Saccharomyces cerevisiae S288C: one gene and its partners. The gene in region 3 interacts genetically with the main gene of each other region. Each region holds a gene or a part of one and is shown on either strand. Other genes may lie near its edges. The genes, in order: YMR187C, PFF1, MAK11 and CPR2.

Region 1 (3,768 bases), on a different chromosome or scaffold from region 3:
ATCGTACCGTAGTAACCCTTACCTATGAAATTTTTAACTTTATAGTGGTTCTTATTGGCAATCTTTTCTAGATGTTGAAGCATTTCTTGTTCACAGAATCCCTTACTAGGAGCTTCTAGTTTCAAGGGTCTTCTCTTCAAAATATTGGGAGGAACGAGCTCTTCTATAAATGCGTTTAAATCGCTATAACCCATTGTTTTTAACATTTTCTTAACGTCGCTAGGAGAAGGACCTAAATGACGTCTAGCAAAAGTATCTAGCGGTCTATCAATGTTTTTCAAGTCAGGATTGAAAATCCTGCTGTACTGTGTAGACGTTATGTCTGTAGCGGCTGTTTTGAGCAAAATAGATTGAGAATGGAATGATCTAGTCCTCGCTAATGAAACATAATTGGTGCTTGACCTGACAGTAGCCCTACAAAGGAGAGCAGTCACTCTTGTCCTAAGCATGTTATCTTCCTGGTATTAGGAAACGTTTTTCCAATAAACTGTGGTTAGTTGATGGTTAGATCGCGCAGCAATCAATACAGTAAGATTGGTACACACGAGAAAGACTAATTCACTGGAACTTGAAGAGAAGAAAATTGTGCCACTCGAGCCTGCTATATATACATCCATTTATATTCGTTGGAGATCTTTCGACTAGCTTATCAAGGTCCTTCACAGCTCAATGCTGACTTCGATGACTCCTCTGAGAGTCATGACTCCGAAAAGGAGGAGTCTATACCTCAAGAAGAGTCAGAGATGTCGGGTAACGATTCAACCGGGTAACATGATTGTTATTTCATAAGATTAGAATTCTGAAGCAATTTGGGATTGTGCCAAACCAATGCGAGCATCAAACTGTTAGAGGAAATCCACAAATAAGGCCAAACAGAAGTAAACTCAGGGAGTTGAATTCGGGTTAGAGATTTCAAAAGTCAAATCAAGATCAGTTAAACTGTAATGGCTCGCCAAAATTTTTTAGGCTTGGTCGTCTCCCAAGGGAAGATGCAAAAGACGGTTAAAGTACGTGTAGAAACAAAAGTCTTTAATAAGAAAATCAACAAGGAGTTATTTCATAGAAGAGATTATTTAGTGCATGATGAAGGTGAAATATCAAGGGAGGGTGATTTAGTAAGGATAGAAGCGACGAGGCCGCTTTCAAAGAGGAAGTTTTTTGCCATTGCAGAAATTATTAGAAACAAGGGTCAACAATTTGCATTATACGAATCAGAAGCTCAGTTAAGCGTTGCAAAAGAAGAAGCCCAAAAGGCAAAAGAATTTTTGGATAAAAGATCAGTGAGGGAGAATAAACTAAATGAAAAAACAACCCTTTTACGTGATATTAGGACCATCCAAGATGCTTTATCTAGCGGGTCAACGCCGAAAGAGTTATTGGAGATTAAACAAAGGTACGGCATTCAAGATTTTTCACAAGAAACAGTGAGGCAACTTTTACAGTTAGACATCTCTGGATTGGAGGTTAATTTGGAGAAACAAAGAAGTCTCATTGATCGTATTCAAACGCGATTATCCGAATTGTTGTCGAATGATCTAAAATGTGATCAATTTTTGAAGGATCATGGTGTTGAGGATCCTTTGACCTTGAAAAAAAACATCAAAAAAAATTTGTTAAGAAAGCACGTCATGATGGATATGCAACAACCAAGCCAGTAAATAAAAGAAAGAGGAAAGCCGAGTGTCATATTTTCTCAACTAAAGCACTACACTCTGTAAATATATACAACTACAAGACTTCGTTACGTAAATAGTAAAGTGTTATGTTTTGACTTTAAAATATTCTAGTGAAAAGAACGATGTTTTTGATTTTCTATCGTTTAACGCATTTATATATTTTCAGGCAAGTGATATCGAAGATGTGAGTACATCGCTCGTCCCCATCGTCAAAAACAAAAGTAAATAAAAGAGCTCTGCTCTGATTTTACAAACAAGAAAATTCCAAGGAAATAGTCCAAGTTTTATATGACCCCACCTCATTTTTTTTTATCTCTCATAAAAAAAAGATGCATATGCTGGATATGTTTGGAAGAATCCACATATGACTCTACATGGCTACAGCACACGTGCGGTTGCAACTTACAAATTCATAAACGCTGCTATATAAGATGGCTCTATCAAATGCATGTTGAACTTTTTCTTCCGAACACAGTGGACCTACCAAAGGATGCTGATTTACCTATAATCACCTGTTTAAAATGTCTCGTTGATGGGCACCATGATTTTATGACGACTTTCTCTCTTACAGAAATATGGGAAACTCGTCCCATTTGGGGGCAAAAATCAGTACCGTTTCAAAATGACTACGTGTTCAATCTAATGTCTCTTTATACCAAACGGGATAATCATCCACCTTATGTGTTAGTGAAATTTGGCGAATGTCCTCAATGCAAGAAAACAAATTTCATAAAAAGACCTACAGTAACCATCCAGTCTTCTGTACTATCCCTGTTTTATCAGTGGCAAAAAATTACACGATACGTGATACCATTAGGGATAACTAGTTTATTTCTTTTAAACCCTGAAAAGACAAGTTTTGACATTGGATTATGGCAACTACGCTGCCTTTTCCCTGAGAATGTTCTACGAAATATGTTAAACATCAGCACTACAAAGGCATTGGACGTATATGCGCAAACTGAACGTGGCTTATTAAGCATTCCTTTAACCTCCTCGATCATAATATATGGGTTCATACATTATCTTAGCAACATTTCTAACGTCAGTGCTAATGCAATACTCTTTAAGTGGGTGTATCTCAGTATTGTAAAAACTGCTGGAAACAAATATTACAAGGGTATAGGTTTACCTAAAATAATTTTGTATTCTAACTTGGCTACATTTTGCTATAATTTTACCTTTAAAAGATTGGTTGACTTAATTTACAGGAGGCTGATCAATAAAGGAGGTAAGTATTTGTATCACGGAAATTTTGAAAACTCTAGTAATAGCGTTCCAGCTGAGGAATTTTTTATCAGGCGGAATTGGTATGCTATTCTTGCAGAAAAGATACTATGGCCCTTTGTTGGTAAATGTACAGGAGGTCTTCTATTGAATGCTTTTCTATGGATACAGAGAAAGTTTAAAATTGAATGGACGCCGAATTGCTCCCCTTCGGAATTTAGAATGATTTTCAATATTATAGGTTGTGGTACTGCTGCTATAGGCTGGTCAAGTCTGAAGCTCTATGCCAGTTACAAAAGATGTCAGGAACTTGAAAAGATCAATGAATTTATTGAACAAAGTTGCAAAGGTGAGTAAATAAGTCATTCGTAAGTGTACACTAAACTTTAAGGACAGCTGGTAGGACAATTTTATGGTCATTTGACAGCTGATGTCTTAAATTGTGTGCTATGGTTCATGTTTACATTAAGACCAACTTTTTTAAAGGCGCGTAAAGCAGAATCATTATTACAAATAGTAAAAATAAGTAAACAAATTTATATAATATATAAAACATGAAGGCGAAAAAAGAGATTAATCAACTTCTTCCATCTCGGTGTCAGCTGGAACCTCTTCAACTGGAGCTTCGGTAGAAGCTTCTGGAGCGGTTTCTGTTTCTTCATCCTCATCAATGTTCAAACCTAAAGAAATCAATCTATTTATTCTTGATGCAAAAGAAGTTGGTTCTTCCAAACTGAAACCAGAAGTCAACAAAGCGGTCTCGAATAATAAGTTAGTCAAATCTTTGACGGTCTTATCTTGTGCACCACCCTCATCAACTCTCTTTTTCAATTCCTTAATAATTGGAGATTTTGGAGAAATTTCG
Region 2 (5,183 bases), on a different chromosome or scaffold from region 3:
AAACGATATCCGGCTATAGTCAATCACAATCCCTGAAGAACCATTTCCAAGACCATTATCTTTATACTTAATAAATATATAGATTTACAGGTTATTTGTATATCGCTAGCATTATTGCGTGCTATTTTCTAATAGTTACTGGAGGGTTATATAATTTAGGACTTTATAAAAACGAGCATTGTATGCACTTGCAGCAGTGTAGAACTTATCTGACGAAACATGTTTCTTACTTTGTTAACTGATATCATTAGTGATTTTCAATACCGTCTGAATATCCACTATAGCTGTCTTTAGCGCTACGAAGAGAGCACCGTAGAATGGTTCCAGACGGATTCTTGGCCAGTAAAGTACATTCATAAGTTAAACTCAATAGTTTTTCCTTTTGTTACGAAAAATTTCTCAAAATATTTTTTATTATTTTGTTCTTCTTGTGGGAAGAAGCGAAGCCTTTGGACAACTCCCCCAGTAGGCGAATTTGAGTTTATAAAAATTTACATTTAAAACTAATTAGAATTATAAAATTATAGCATCCTTGACAATAACTAATCCTTTCTGTTCGTTGGTAAAGGAAAAACTTAGAGGTGCGTAATTTATCAATTCATCAAATGCTGGAATTTTCCTAACAGCGGTACCATTTACAACCGATTCCGAATCATATTCTCCCCAATAACAGCTAATAGAAACAGACAGTTCGTCTTTTGTCCCCAACTTGTCATCCTCTACATTTCCATCCGTCAAAAGTTTTGGAAACCACTGGACTCCGATATGGTAAGTTTCCTGATCGAAATCAAGTTTATGCAATTGCAGTTCGTTTATGCCAGAAGCAGACTTGATCGTCTTCGTGATATTAGCTTTCTGTGGGGCCGAATTTTTCTTTTGATATACCGTGATTTCTCTGACAGGTGACTTCGCCTGATGTCTACTTTCAAAAGTTAAAGTGCAAGCCCTGTTCTCCTTCACCTCCAAAAGTAACTCTGCAACTATTGGTTCGTAAGGAGATCTCTCTGTTGAGTTTCGGTTATTATGTAAAACATGAACCTTGACCATACTGCTGATGTTCGTATTTCCATTCGTGCTCAATAAATTAGGTTGCATTCCATCATACATACAAAGTTCCATTCCATTGGTTACGGAAGTACAGTTAATATGTGTAGAGCTATATTTTATACTTGGTAAATCTTGCAGCATAGGTTTTAAAAAATTTCCTTCTCTTCCAAGGACATGTACACTGGCAGCGTTCCCTTGAGACAAATCAATATTTTGAGAAAACCTTACTTTTAATGGGTTACTATTGGTAAAGGGGTGCACTAGGAGCGTTTTGGATGCGGAAATCAAGAAAAGCAGTGCAGTTAAAGAAATTGTGATATAGTTGACCTTATAGAAAAAAGGTAAAATTGGTAGCGCGATCAAAATACTGCCCACCATTCCGAACCTGAGTACATCAAATGTAGCCTTACTTCCTTCCTGGACAGTATGGTTTAGTGCGTCCATGATAACATCCACACTGTTAAACAAAATAAATGATGGTATTGGTACAATTAGCAAAAATTGAATGATCCAGGCATAATCGGTATACTCAAGTTTTAGAGAATTTTCTCTAGTACTCAATCCTTCCTCCATGCTATTAGACCCCTTCAGTAATGGTACCCTTTCATCATGTTGTTGTGACGATGAATCCATACCATGATCCTCGTCAACATTATGTGATGGGCCAGCTGAAGTAGTTGACACATTATCATCTTGGATACTTGCTTGATCGTCTTGTGACGATGTAAGTTGATCTTGGGGTTGTTCCAAGTTTTCCTGACCGTCTCGTTCCATATCTATTTGAGAATGGGAGCTGTAATTGGAGTGATGGTCCCTACATTCTCTACCAAGCCTCTTCCTTGTTCTCATTCCCAACGCTAGTGCAAGTAGTCTCAATATAGCAGCTATTGTGCTCAGAAGAAAGAAAATCGAGAGAGGATAAAGCCCGGTATACCTATAGTCGGAACTATACAATAACTTCGACGTAAAAAGTAAAATGGTCCATAAAATAATGAACAATTCGATAATTGATAGGCTTTTCATATCGGCACAGGGGAAAAAAAAATTGGAGCAATTAATCAGAACATAACTGGTAAAAATTACTTGAGTGAAAAAAGCCGAGATAGGCCAAAAGTAGTTCCTTGAGAACGTCAAAGGATTGGAACGAATTATGTCGTTAGAGAAAAGCTTTTGGACAATAATACCAGCGGCTAATGAAAGAGGAAAGCGTGTCCACGATAGCCATGAATAAGATTTCCAAGTCATTCTATCACGAGAAATTAAATACAAGCCAATGGCCACAACGGGTGAAACTAATAGAAATATGCAGTTCCAATAGAAAAGCGTTTTAGCGCTTATAACGAAAAACTTCAAACCGATAAAATCAAAATAACAAGCCGGCGTTTGGTCAGCTGTATCCAATGAATTAGAAGCCACATATGCACTTAATTGTAAGGAAGTATGTAGCATATGCCATAAAGATGCCTTGGAGGTATATTGTATTGAATCCTTTATGGTATGATAAAGGTTTCTCGGTTTGTAGAATGCGACATCCCAGCCTCTCATGCCATTTTCTTCGTAAATCTTGTAGTCTGTCTCACTCCTGACATATCTGCTATAAAAACCTTGCTGGTAGATAGAGTTACCAAATGGATTTTCCTTAACAGACTGTTGGTATATTCTTGCTGTTGAAGTATCTGAAGTTCGGAACAGTACAGCTTTACCACCAGCACCAGTTCCCTCTAAATTTATCACATACTTGGTTAAATTAGACCATGAGTGATCAAAATAAGTTGATGCACCTAGTAGGCCAAACTCTTCATTATTATTAAAGTTGAAAATTAAAGTCCTGTTCGGTCTGTGCTTTATATGGTACTTGAGGTTCGCTAGTAAAGACACTACACCCATGCCGTCATCGGTAGCTCCATATCCTGTGGGTACAGAGTCGAAATGAGCTGAAAGAAGTAACCCTTCTTCCTCAGGATTTTTACCCTCAAGCTTAACTAATATATTAGAAGATTCAAAATATGTCACTCTCGAAAACCTAGATGACTCATTGAAAGGATCTTGTTGCTGAAATAATATGGATCTCTCGCTTTCTTTGTCATCTGAAACACTTGCAAACGAAGAATTCCCTGTAATTTCAAGAACCCTTTTGAGCAAGTAATCATGTACTTTATCATTTTCTTTGGACGTGTACGGATGAAAAGAGGCCGTGATAATCTGTAAGTCCCCCCATGCTGTTTCTAATAAGTCATTGAATTCAGGGTGCTCATCCTCTTTTGGTAGATTGAGTTTATAACGTTCATGATCAAAGATATAGAGTAACGTAATAATCGAATAGGTGATTAATAGAAGCAAACTCAAATTTGTTTTCCGGTACTTTAGAACTGATCTGAATACACTTTTTAATTTCATGCCGTGATTCTTTAACTTTACCTATCAATTTATTTCCTTGTAGATAATTTTTCACATTATTTTTTTTTTTTTTTTTTTGGGACTAAAGGCTATTCAAATCTTTCAGATGTTTGATTTGCGCCCGCAGCGTATCGTTATCAAATTAGTGAAAACGTGGATATCAACTTGAATCAGCAATAGGCCCTACTTAATATGTGACTTGAACCTGAATGAGTCGTGCAAGAATAAACCTATTAAATACAATCAGTGATTAAATAATAGCTATTTTATTTAGTATATAAGTGTCCATATTTGGCGTCATTGTTCTCTGAGACATATCTCGCCGGGCTTTACAAACGCAAAGGTAATACTATCTTTCAATTCGGTGAACGAATCTGTGATAACCTCATCAAATAATTCATCTTGTCTTGCTGGATCGATATGCTTATAATGAACGAGACATTGCCTAATGTATTGTGACTTTTTGGCATCATCGTTGGTGGCTGCTTCATTCATTTTCTTTTGTAAATCCAGCGCACTTGTCCATGTCGTAGTGCTACGCTTTCTCAGCTCTACGGTGTTCTGCTGTTGATTTGTTTCAGGATATTCAATTTCCTCACCTAAACCATCGCAAGAACAAATTAAGTCATGTGTGTTACTCTTGGTATCTGTATGGACAGAAAACAGGTCCTTCAAGTCCTCTTTATTGAAAAGATCATCATTAGAAGATTCTTTATTTCTCATCTCCGAGTCACCTAGAAATTTTTGGCTCAAACTGTTCTTCATTAATTGCCTTTGCAATATTTTCTCATCGATACACCCAGTTGTGACAAGTCTATATATGAAGCACGGCTTTTTTTGACCATCTCTATGAATTCGTGACATCGCTTGCAAATCTACTGAAGGATTCCAATCATTATCAAATAAAATAAGTCGCGAAGCACCGACTAGATTCAATCCTACACCTCCCGATTTTGCACTCAACAAGAATCCAAATATGGCTGGATTCCGATTGAAAGATGTGACGATAGAGTCCCTTTGTTTAGCAGGTATGGAACCGTCGAGTCTGCAATGTGACATCCCAGCCATATTCATCAAATTTTCAATTATATCCAATGTTTGAGTGTAGTTAGACACTACGACGACCTTCTCCTTGGTACCCTTCCTAATACCTTCTAGTAATGTCATTAATACCTTTAACTTACCAGAGTTCAAAGAACGACTATAGCTGTCCTGAGATTGGGTATCCTTTATATGTGATTTGTAATAGGGATCTGAGCCAACCAATCCAGGAGAGTTACAAACCTTTTTCAGTAATGTTATTAGTCCTAGCGAAGAACTGAACGTCAATTGTCCAAAATCTAAACGTGCGCCCTGCAAAATATCTTTGAATGCCAATATCTGTTGGCTGTATGGTTTACAGAATAAAATTATATCCGTCTTTGGAGGAAGGTACTTTTCTAAAATCGCATTTGTTCGTCTCAAAATAAATCTTTTCGTAATTTCTATCATCTCTTTTGACCTTTCTTCCCCCTTTTCCAACAATTCTTCGTTGTATCTGTTTGCAGTGTCTCTGGCTCTAGTTATAGGGATAATGAATCTTCTTTTGAAAGAAGCGAAGCTTCCAAGGATTCCTGGGTTTATGAAATCTATAATAGTGAAAAACTCATTAAGATCATTTTGTATAGGAGTTCCCGTAAGCAAAAGCTTCCTTCTTATGTCTAAACTCTTCAGCGTATTTAAAATTTTAGAAGCCCCGT
Region 3 (3,839 bases):
CGTTCGGTAAACGAGCCTTTTATGTCTACGCCTAATACGTTTTCCCGTCTTCCCCAGAAATTCATCGATTCTTCCAAAGATATATCGAACCATAATAGTGTCCCCGTGGCGCTAAATAACAAGCCTTCTATTCAGCGTGTCATCCCCGCACAAGGTTCCATCAACGGAGGTATAGAAGTGACTCTACTTGGCTCAAAGTTTAAGCAGGGCTTAATCATCAAGTTTGGCGAAAATATAGCATTGTCCAGCCAATGCTGGAATGAATCTACGATGGTGACTTATTTACCGCCTTCATCTAAACCTGGACCGGTTTTGGTAACCATAGTCGACCCAAGTGAAACGTCTATGAGAAATAATAGCAATAGTAGTGTTTCCACCAGCAATAGTACCAATGACATTCTGCACTTAAACAAGTATACCGGTGAGAAAGCAATCTTTACTTATGTTGATGATACTGATAGGCAACTAATTGAATTGGCTCTGCAAATTGTGGGGCTGAAAATGAACGGTAAACTGGAAGATGCAAGAAATATTGCTAAAAGGATTGTTGGCAGTGATTCATCTCCATCTAATAATAACGCAGGATTACACTCACAGAATAGCTCTTTAAATTCGTACACGAATATGATGCGAAATATAAACGATGAACAATTGATCACTGAAGTTATTAAGTCATTTAAGAGAAATAATAATCTCTCTACCGTCAATCTTTCCATGTGTGACGTTAGGGGTAGAACTCTATTACATCTGGCAGCATTCAATAACTGGTATAGTCTTGTCTCATTACTAATCAAATATGGGTCGCATTTGAACGACCAAGATTTATTTGGTTTTACTCCGCTACATATGGCGTGTATTAATGGTGACTTGAGAATTATAAGACTATTGTTAGAATGCAACGTTAATATTATGAAGAAAACCAGAAACGGCTTTATCGCTAAACAGTTCTTCCTGATGAATTATACTGTCAACAAGACCAGATATTCTAATTATGAAACCAGTCTGTTTGACGACATTCTGACTAGATTAACGAAGAATACAACAGGATCCAGTGATACTCAACCGTTTGAGAGAAATGTATCCCAGTCAAGTTTCAACTCAAGTTTATTTGATGATGACGATGCTGATCATGACTATGTCCAAGAAAGAAAATATTTATTGGCGGATTCCGCTGCCCTTGCCCCCGAACAATCCAACTGTAATGACAATACGTCATTCTCAATCCTAGATTCGGATTCAGGTTATGACATAAGTGATTGTGAATCATCTTCAGATGAGATTGCTTTGGAGTTCTTTAACACCCACAAAATCAAGGACTTCTCTTCAAAGCCAAATGAAATACCAAAAACTACTAAGACTAGCATAGAGCCTGACGGATCTTTATGGAACAGAATGCTAACTCGTTTAAATGACGAGCTCCCAAAGTATGAAGACTTGTTCCCAAAAAAACCCAAAAACTGGGAACTTGGTAGCAAATCTGTGGAGATTGGGCCAGATAATTCTGCCCAAATGACCGTGGATGATTCTCAAACTTCTTCTGAAGACGATGAATTAGAAGCTTTACAGGTCGGGTTCAACACAATCTTTTCCAAGAAGCAAAACTTTCAGAATGATAAGATGCTCCTATTCTTTTGGATCCCCTTAACTTTAGTACTCTTATTATGTTTCACATTATCGAATTTGGGGAAAGATGATGATATGTTTCATAATTTATCCAAAATTGTTCAGGAATATTTAAGAATTGGTTTAGCCAAGGTACTACTAGGCAACGAAAGGATGAAAACCTCTTTTAAAATGCAGTTATCGAAGTTTCAAAACAATAACATTCTAAACGACATGCGAGTCAATTAAAGACATTTTTCTAGCTACATAATCCTTACACTATATAGATTCATTTTTTATTATTTTGCATTTTTGAATTTTATCTTCTTTATGTTACTGAATACTACTTATACTGTCTTCATTTTTTTTTTGCTTAGAATTATAAAGTTCAAGATCAAGGCCGAAAATTTTTTAGAACATGAAAAATTGAAAACTCATGGTACCTCATCTCGAAAAGATCCTAAGGGCCAAGTCAAGAATTCGTGTAGAAAAATGAGTGCTATAGGCGACAAGAACCAATTTCGTATCATTGTGGGCTCATACGAGCACAACATTTTGTGTTTATCCTTAGATATCCCAAATCAAAAGGAAAATGATGCAGCAAAGACACCACATTTTATGCCAATATTTCATTTTCAAGCCCATTCGTTGAGTATTAAATGTTTGGCTGTTTCAAGAAGATACCTAGTTTCTGGATCCAATGACGAGCACATCAGAATTTATGATTTGCAAAAGAGGAAGGAACTGGGTACTTTGTTAAGTCATCAGGGCTCTATTACTGCTCTACAATTCTCACATCCAGCTTCTTCCAGTGAGGATGCTGCTGTTTCAAAGGGGAGCAAGAATAGCAAATGGTTATTATCAGCATCAGAAGACCACAAAATTATGGTTTGGAGAGTAAAGGACTGGGAAACAGTGGGGACTTTAAAGGGACACACGGCAAGGGTTAATGATGTGGATATTCACCCCACCAATAGAATTGCCATCAGTGTTAGTGATGACCATTCTATACGTCTTTGGAATTTGATGACTCTAAGAAATGCTGCTGTACTAAAACTAAGAAAATATAATACAAACGGGACTTGTGTTAGATGGTTAGGCGCCAAAGGTGATTATTTTGCCGTGGGTTTAAGGGATAGGGTGCTTATTTATGAAACTGGATCGGCTAAAGTTTTTAAAGAAATAGTCTTTCAAAGGAAAACTCTTATGCATATTGAAACACATATTTTACCATTCGATAATAAGGAATACCTTTCTGTTGGTATCAGCGATGGTAATGTTCATTTCTATCCTTGTGAGGAGTTATTCGAAAAAGTTGAAGAAAATGAAAAGCAGGAAGATGATGACGACAAGGAGGATATCAGCCCCGCTTTTTCTTTATTGGGTCACACAAACCGTATTAAAGATTTCAAGTTTTATACGAATGAATTTGGTACCTACCTAGTCACCATTGGTTCTGATGGTAAAATTGTCGTATGGGATATGTCTACAAAAGAACAAGTAGCAGTCTACGACTGTGGCGAAAGGCTAAATTGCTTAACGCTATGCGATGAAAGCATTGAGAAATACAACACAATGAAGAAGAGGGATGCTGAAACAGCTGATATAGGTGACCAAAGTGAGGTGGAAAGTGATACCGAAGAATTAAAGAAGATAATGTTTGGTGAGAAGAAGAAACTCAATAAAAAGAAGCGGAAGCAATTGAAGAAGAGTAAAGTATCAGTAGAACTTGAATAAACGCCTTATACATGCGTGCAGCTCAGAATTGTTGCGTACTAAAGTTAGTTTATATGTATAATATAAAATAATTTATCTTAATCGTTAAAGATGATATGAAGTTTTGTCTTTATTGCTGTCATTGTTATATCGTTATTTGTGGAAAGGCTACACATTATTACAAGTCATCAAAAGCCACATCAAACTTGAAATCGTCAAACAGGGTACTTATGAGAAACCCCATGTCGCCTTCGGAGCAACATTCACAACATAATTCTACATTGGCCGCCTCGCCATTTGTTTCTAACGTATCTGCAGCAAGAACACAACAGAGTTTACCAACCGATGCTCAGAATGATCGTTTGCAGCAACCCTGGAACAGAACCAATACGGCTACGAGTCCCTACCAGTCGTTAGCAAATAGCCCTTTAATACAGAAGTTGCAAGCGAATATTATGACTCCGCACCAGCCATCTGCTAATTCTAATTCTAATTCCAATTCCATTACGGGCAATGTTGTG
Region 4 (2,936 bases), on a different chromosome or scaffold from region 3:
CCCAGTCAGCGTTTCATATAAATATCAACATGAATGAAGGACAACAATTTCTGAGTTTATTATATATTTACAAGAATATGGAGTATAATGTGAACATATACGTATACATGTATATATTGAGATCTTGCGAAAGCGTCTATTGCTTGTTTTCAGCTTTCCATTTAGCAGTAAATGCCTTTCTCTTCCTCTCACCACCAAAAAATGACTTCTTGCCCAGTTTAATTTCATGAATTGGCCTATTGTTACGATAGTTATGAACTTGTTTCAGTATATATTTCCTTTGTTGAATATTCACGCCTTTTTCCTTCAATATCTTAGAATCCCATTGGAAAAGGTTGTTCCAGTTATTTTCGAAAGTATCCTTCAATTCGTTGCAATTTCGACCGATCTTGTTTAGAAATGCATCTACGTCAGGTACCTGATCGCTTGGTTTGGGGATGGTCGAACTGAAACGATAGGCAGCTTTAGGAGCGGCCAGCGAACTCCTTAAGAATAGAGGAAATTTGTGGCTAATCCGGGAAGGTATCATAGTAAAACGTGTGTTGAATGAAGGTTTGTTATTGTTTGGTCAAGTTTTCTTTGGTTTTATAGCTCTTGTTTGAAGATGGCAGAATTATTTCAAGCCTGGCTGCATTATTTTTTTTGGTTAACATAATGAGCGTATTATAAATAATGAGTGGAAAAATGTGGAACGATGAGAAGACCTCTGAATATAAAGTTGCAAGTAGTGAAACAAAGCAGGATTTCGCAAAATGAACGTGACACCGTTGGATGAATTGCAATGGAAATCTCCAGAATGGATTCAAGTTTTTGGTTTGAGAACTGAGAATGTTCTTGATTACTTTGCAGAATCACCATTTTTCGATAAGACGTCGAATAATCAGGTAATTAAAATGCAAAGGCAGTTTTCCCAGTTAAATGATCCTAATGCTGCCGTGAATATGACACAAAACATAATGACCTTACCAGATGGGAAGAATGGAAACTTGGAAGAGGAGTTTGCCTATGTGGATCCGGCAAGAAGACAAATCCTTTTCAAGTATCCTATGTATATGCAACTGGAGGAGGAATTAATGAAGTTAGATGGTACTGAATACGTATTGAGCAGCGTAAGAGAGCCTGACTTCTGGGTTATCAGGAAGCAAAGACGAACAAACAATTCTGGTGTGGGAAGCGCTAAGGGACCAGAGATTATTCCATTGCAAGACTACTACATAATTGGTGCAAACATTTACCAATCGCCAACAATTTTTAAAATTGTGCAAAGTAGGCTGATGTCCACGAGCTACCATCTAAATAGCACATTGGAGAGCTTGTATGACTTGATTGAGTTTCAACCTTCCCAAGGAGTACACTATAAAGTACCTACGGACACTAGCACGACTGCAACGGCTGCCACCAACGGGAACAACGCTGGAGGGGGCAGTAACAAGAGCAGTGTACGACCTACCGGCGGTGCCAATATGGCGACTGTTCCCTCAACCACAAATGTCAACATGACAGTCAACACTATGGGTACAGGAGGACAAACTATAGACAACGGTACCGGTCGTACTGGCAACGGTAACATGGGTATAACTACAGAGATGTTGGACAAATTAATGGTCACAAGCATTCGATCCACCCCAAACTACATATGAGAACTGCCATGGCAATTGCATATATCTTTGTACTATATTATAAAACCCCGCGAAATCAACTTTTCAGTTTTCTTCAAAAATCGATGTACCCATCATAAGAAGTTCCCCCAAAAGGAAAGAAATGAGAGGAAAAAGACACGAAGGGAAAACAAAATGAAATTCAGTGGCTTGTGGTGTTGGTTGTTATTATTCCTTAGCGTTAATGTTATTGCATCTGATGTGGGTGAGTTGATTGATCAGGACGACGAAGTAATTACACAAAAGGTGTTTTTCGATATTGAACATGGTGAAGAGAAAGTTGGCAGAATCGTTATTGGGTTGTACGGAAAGGTATGTCCTAAGACGGCGAAGAACTTCTACAAGTTAAGCACCACCACTAATTCCAAAAAGGGGTTCATCGGGTCCACTTTCCATAGGGTGATTCCCAACTTCATGGTACAGGGAGGGGACTTCACAGACGGCACTGGCGTTGGTGGCAAATCCATCTATGGAGATACTTTCCCTGACGAAAACTTTACTTTGAAGCATGATCGCAAGGGCAGACTATCGATGGCTAATCGTGGTAAAGATACCAATGGATCTCAGTTCTTCATCACCACTACGGAAGAAGCGTCGTGGCTCGATGGAAAGCATGTGGTATTTGGACAGGTTGTGGACGGCATGGATGTGGTGAACTACATACAGCACGTGTCCAGAGATGCGAATGACAAACCTCTCGAGGCGGTCAAGATCGCAAAATGCGGTGAGTGGACGCCTGAGCTCTCTTCTTGAGTATATGCAATATTTCATACTATATACATAGATATCAATTTCAGTATGTATAGTTAAAGGTAAATTAACTAGAGAACGTGGGAACAGTTCCGCACTGTGACCACCGGAACGTACGTCTGGTTAGCGCAGCATTAGTCCCAGTTACATCCGATTCAAAATGCAACAGCAAGTATTAATTGGGGAAATCATATCATTTTGAATATAACCTTGGCGTCCTACTAAGGATGGTTATACATCCTAGCTCGTGTAGTGTGATATTTTGCAGGAATGATGCAAAGAGAGGAAGAACAAGAAGAGAGTTGTTGTTTTTAATGTATCTTAGCAATTTATGAGAGGAGCATTGTCGTTGTCTGCTGTGACTAGTGCGTAGCTTTGCCGTTTGTTTTTAATCATGATGGACATGCAAGTGAGAAAAGTGAGGAAGCCGCCTGCTTGCACCCAATGCAGGAAGAGAAAGATCGGGTGCGACAGGGCAAAACCGATATGTGGGAATTGCGTCAAGTATAACAAGCCGGACTGTTTTTA

The links.
Region 1: mutations in MAK11 (region 3) and YMR187C together harm fitness more than expected from each alone (negative genetic interaction), as found in Saccharomyces cerevisiae (one large-scale study listed by BioGRID).
Region 2: mutations in MAK11 (region 3) and PFF1 together harm fitness less than expected from each alone (positive genetic interaction), as found in Saccharomyces cerevisiae (one large-scale study listed by BioGRID).
Region 4: mutations in MAK11 (region 3) and CPR2 together harm fitness less than expected from each alone (positive genetic interaction), as found in Saccharomyces cerevisiae (one large-scale study listed by BioGRID).

The regions. Positions count from the first base shown.
Region 1 is NC_001145.3:634,181-637,948, reverse strand, and holds YMR187C (uncharacterized protein), read left to right. Parts: upstream 1-1,964; coding exon 1,965-3,260; downstream 3,261-3,768. Other genes in the region: GCV2 (glycine decarboxylase subunit P), read right to left, coding at 1-449; mitochondrial 37S ribosomal protein uS17m MRPS17, read left to right, coding at 945-1,658; Hsp90 family chaperone HSC82, read right to left, coding at 3,477-3,768.
Region 2 is NC_001134.8:384,547-389,729, reverse strand, and holds PFF1 (Pff1p), read right to left. Parts: upstream 3,445-5,183; coding exon 514-3,444; downstream 1-513. Other genes in the region: DNA-dependent ATPase RDH54, read right to left, coding at 3,742-5,183. UniProt on the Saccharomyces cerevisiae protein: May be involved in vacuolar sorting and osmoregulation.
Region 3 is NC_001143.9:396,844-400,682, reverse strand, and holds MAK11 (Mak11p), read left to right. Parts: upstream 1-1,932; coding exon 1,933-3,339; downstream 3,340-3,839. Other genes in the region: SPT23 (Spt23p), read left to right, coding at 1-1,851; anaphase promoting complex subunit CDC16, read left to right, coding at 3,435-3,839.
Region 4 is NC_001140.6:217,701-220,636, reverse strand, and holds CPR2 (peptidylprolyl isomerase CPR2), read left to right. Parts: upstream 1-1,793; coding exon 1,794-2,411; downstream 2,412-2,936. Other genes in the region: mitochondrial 37S ribosomal protein mS41 FYV4, read right to left, coding at 137-529; mediator complex subunit MED6, read left to right, coding at 753-1,640; RSC30 (Rsc30p), read left to right, coding at 2,803-2,936. UniProt on the Saccharomyces cerevisiae protein: PPIases accelerate the folding of proteins. It catalyzes the cis-trans isomerization of proline imidic peptide bonds in oligopeptides.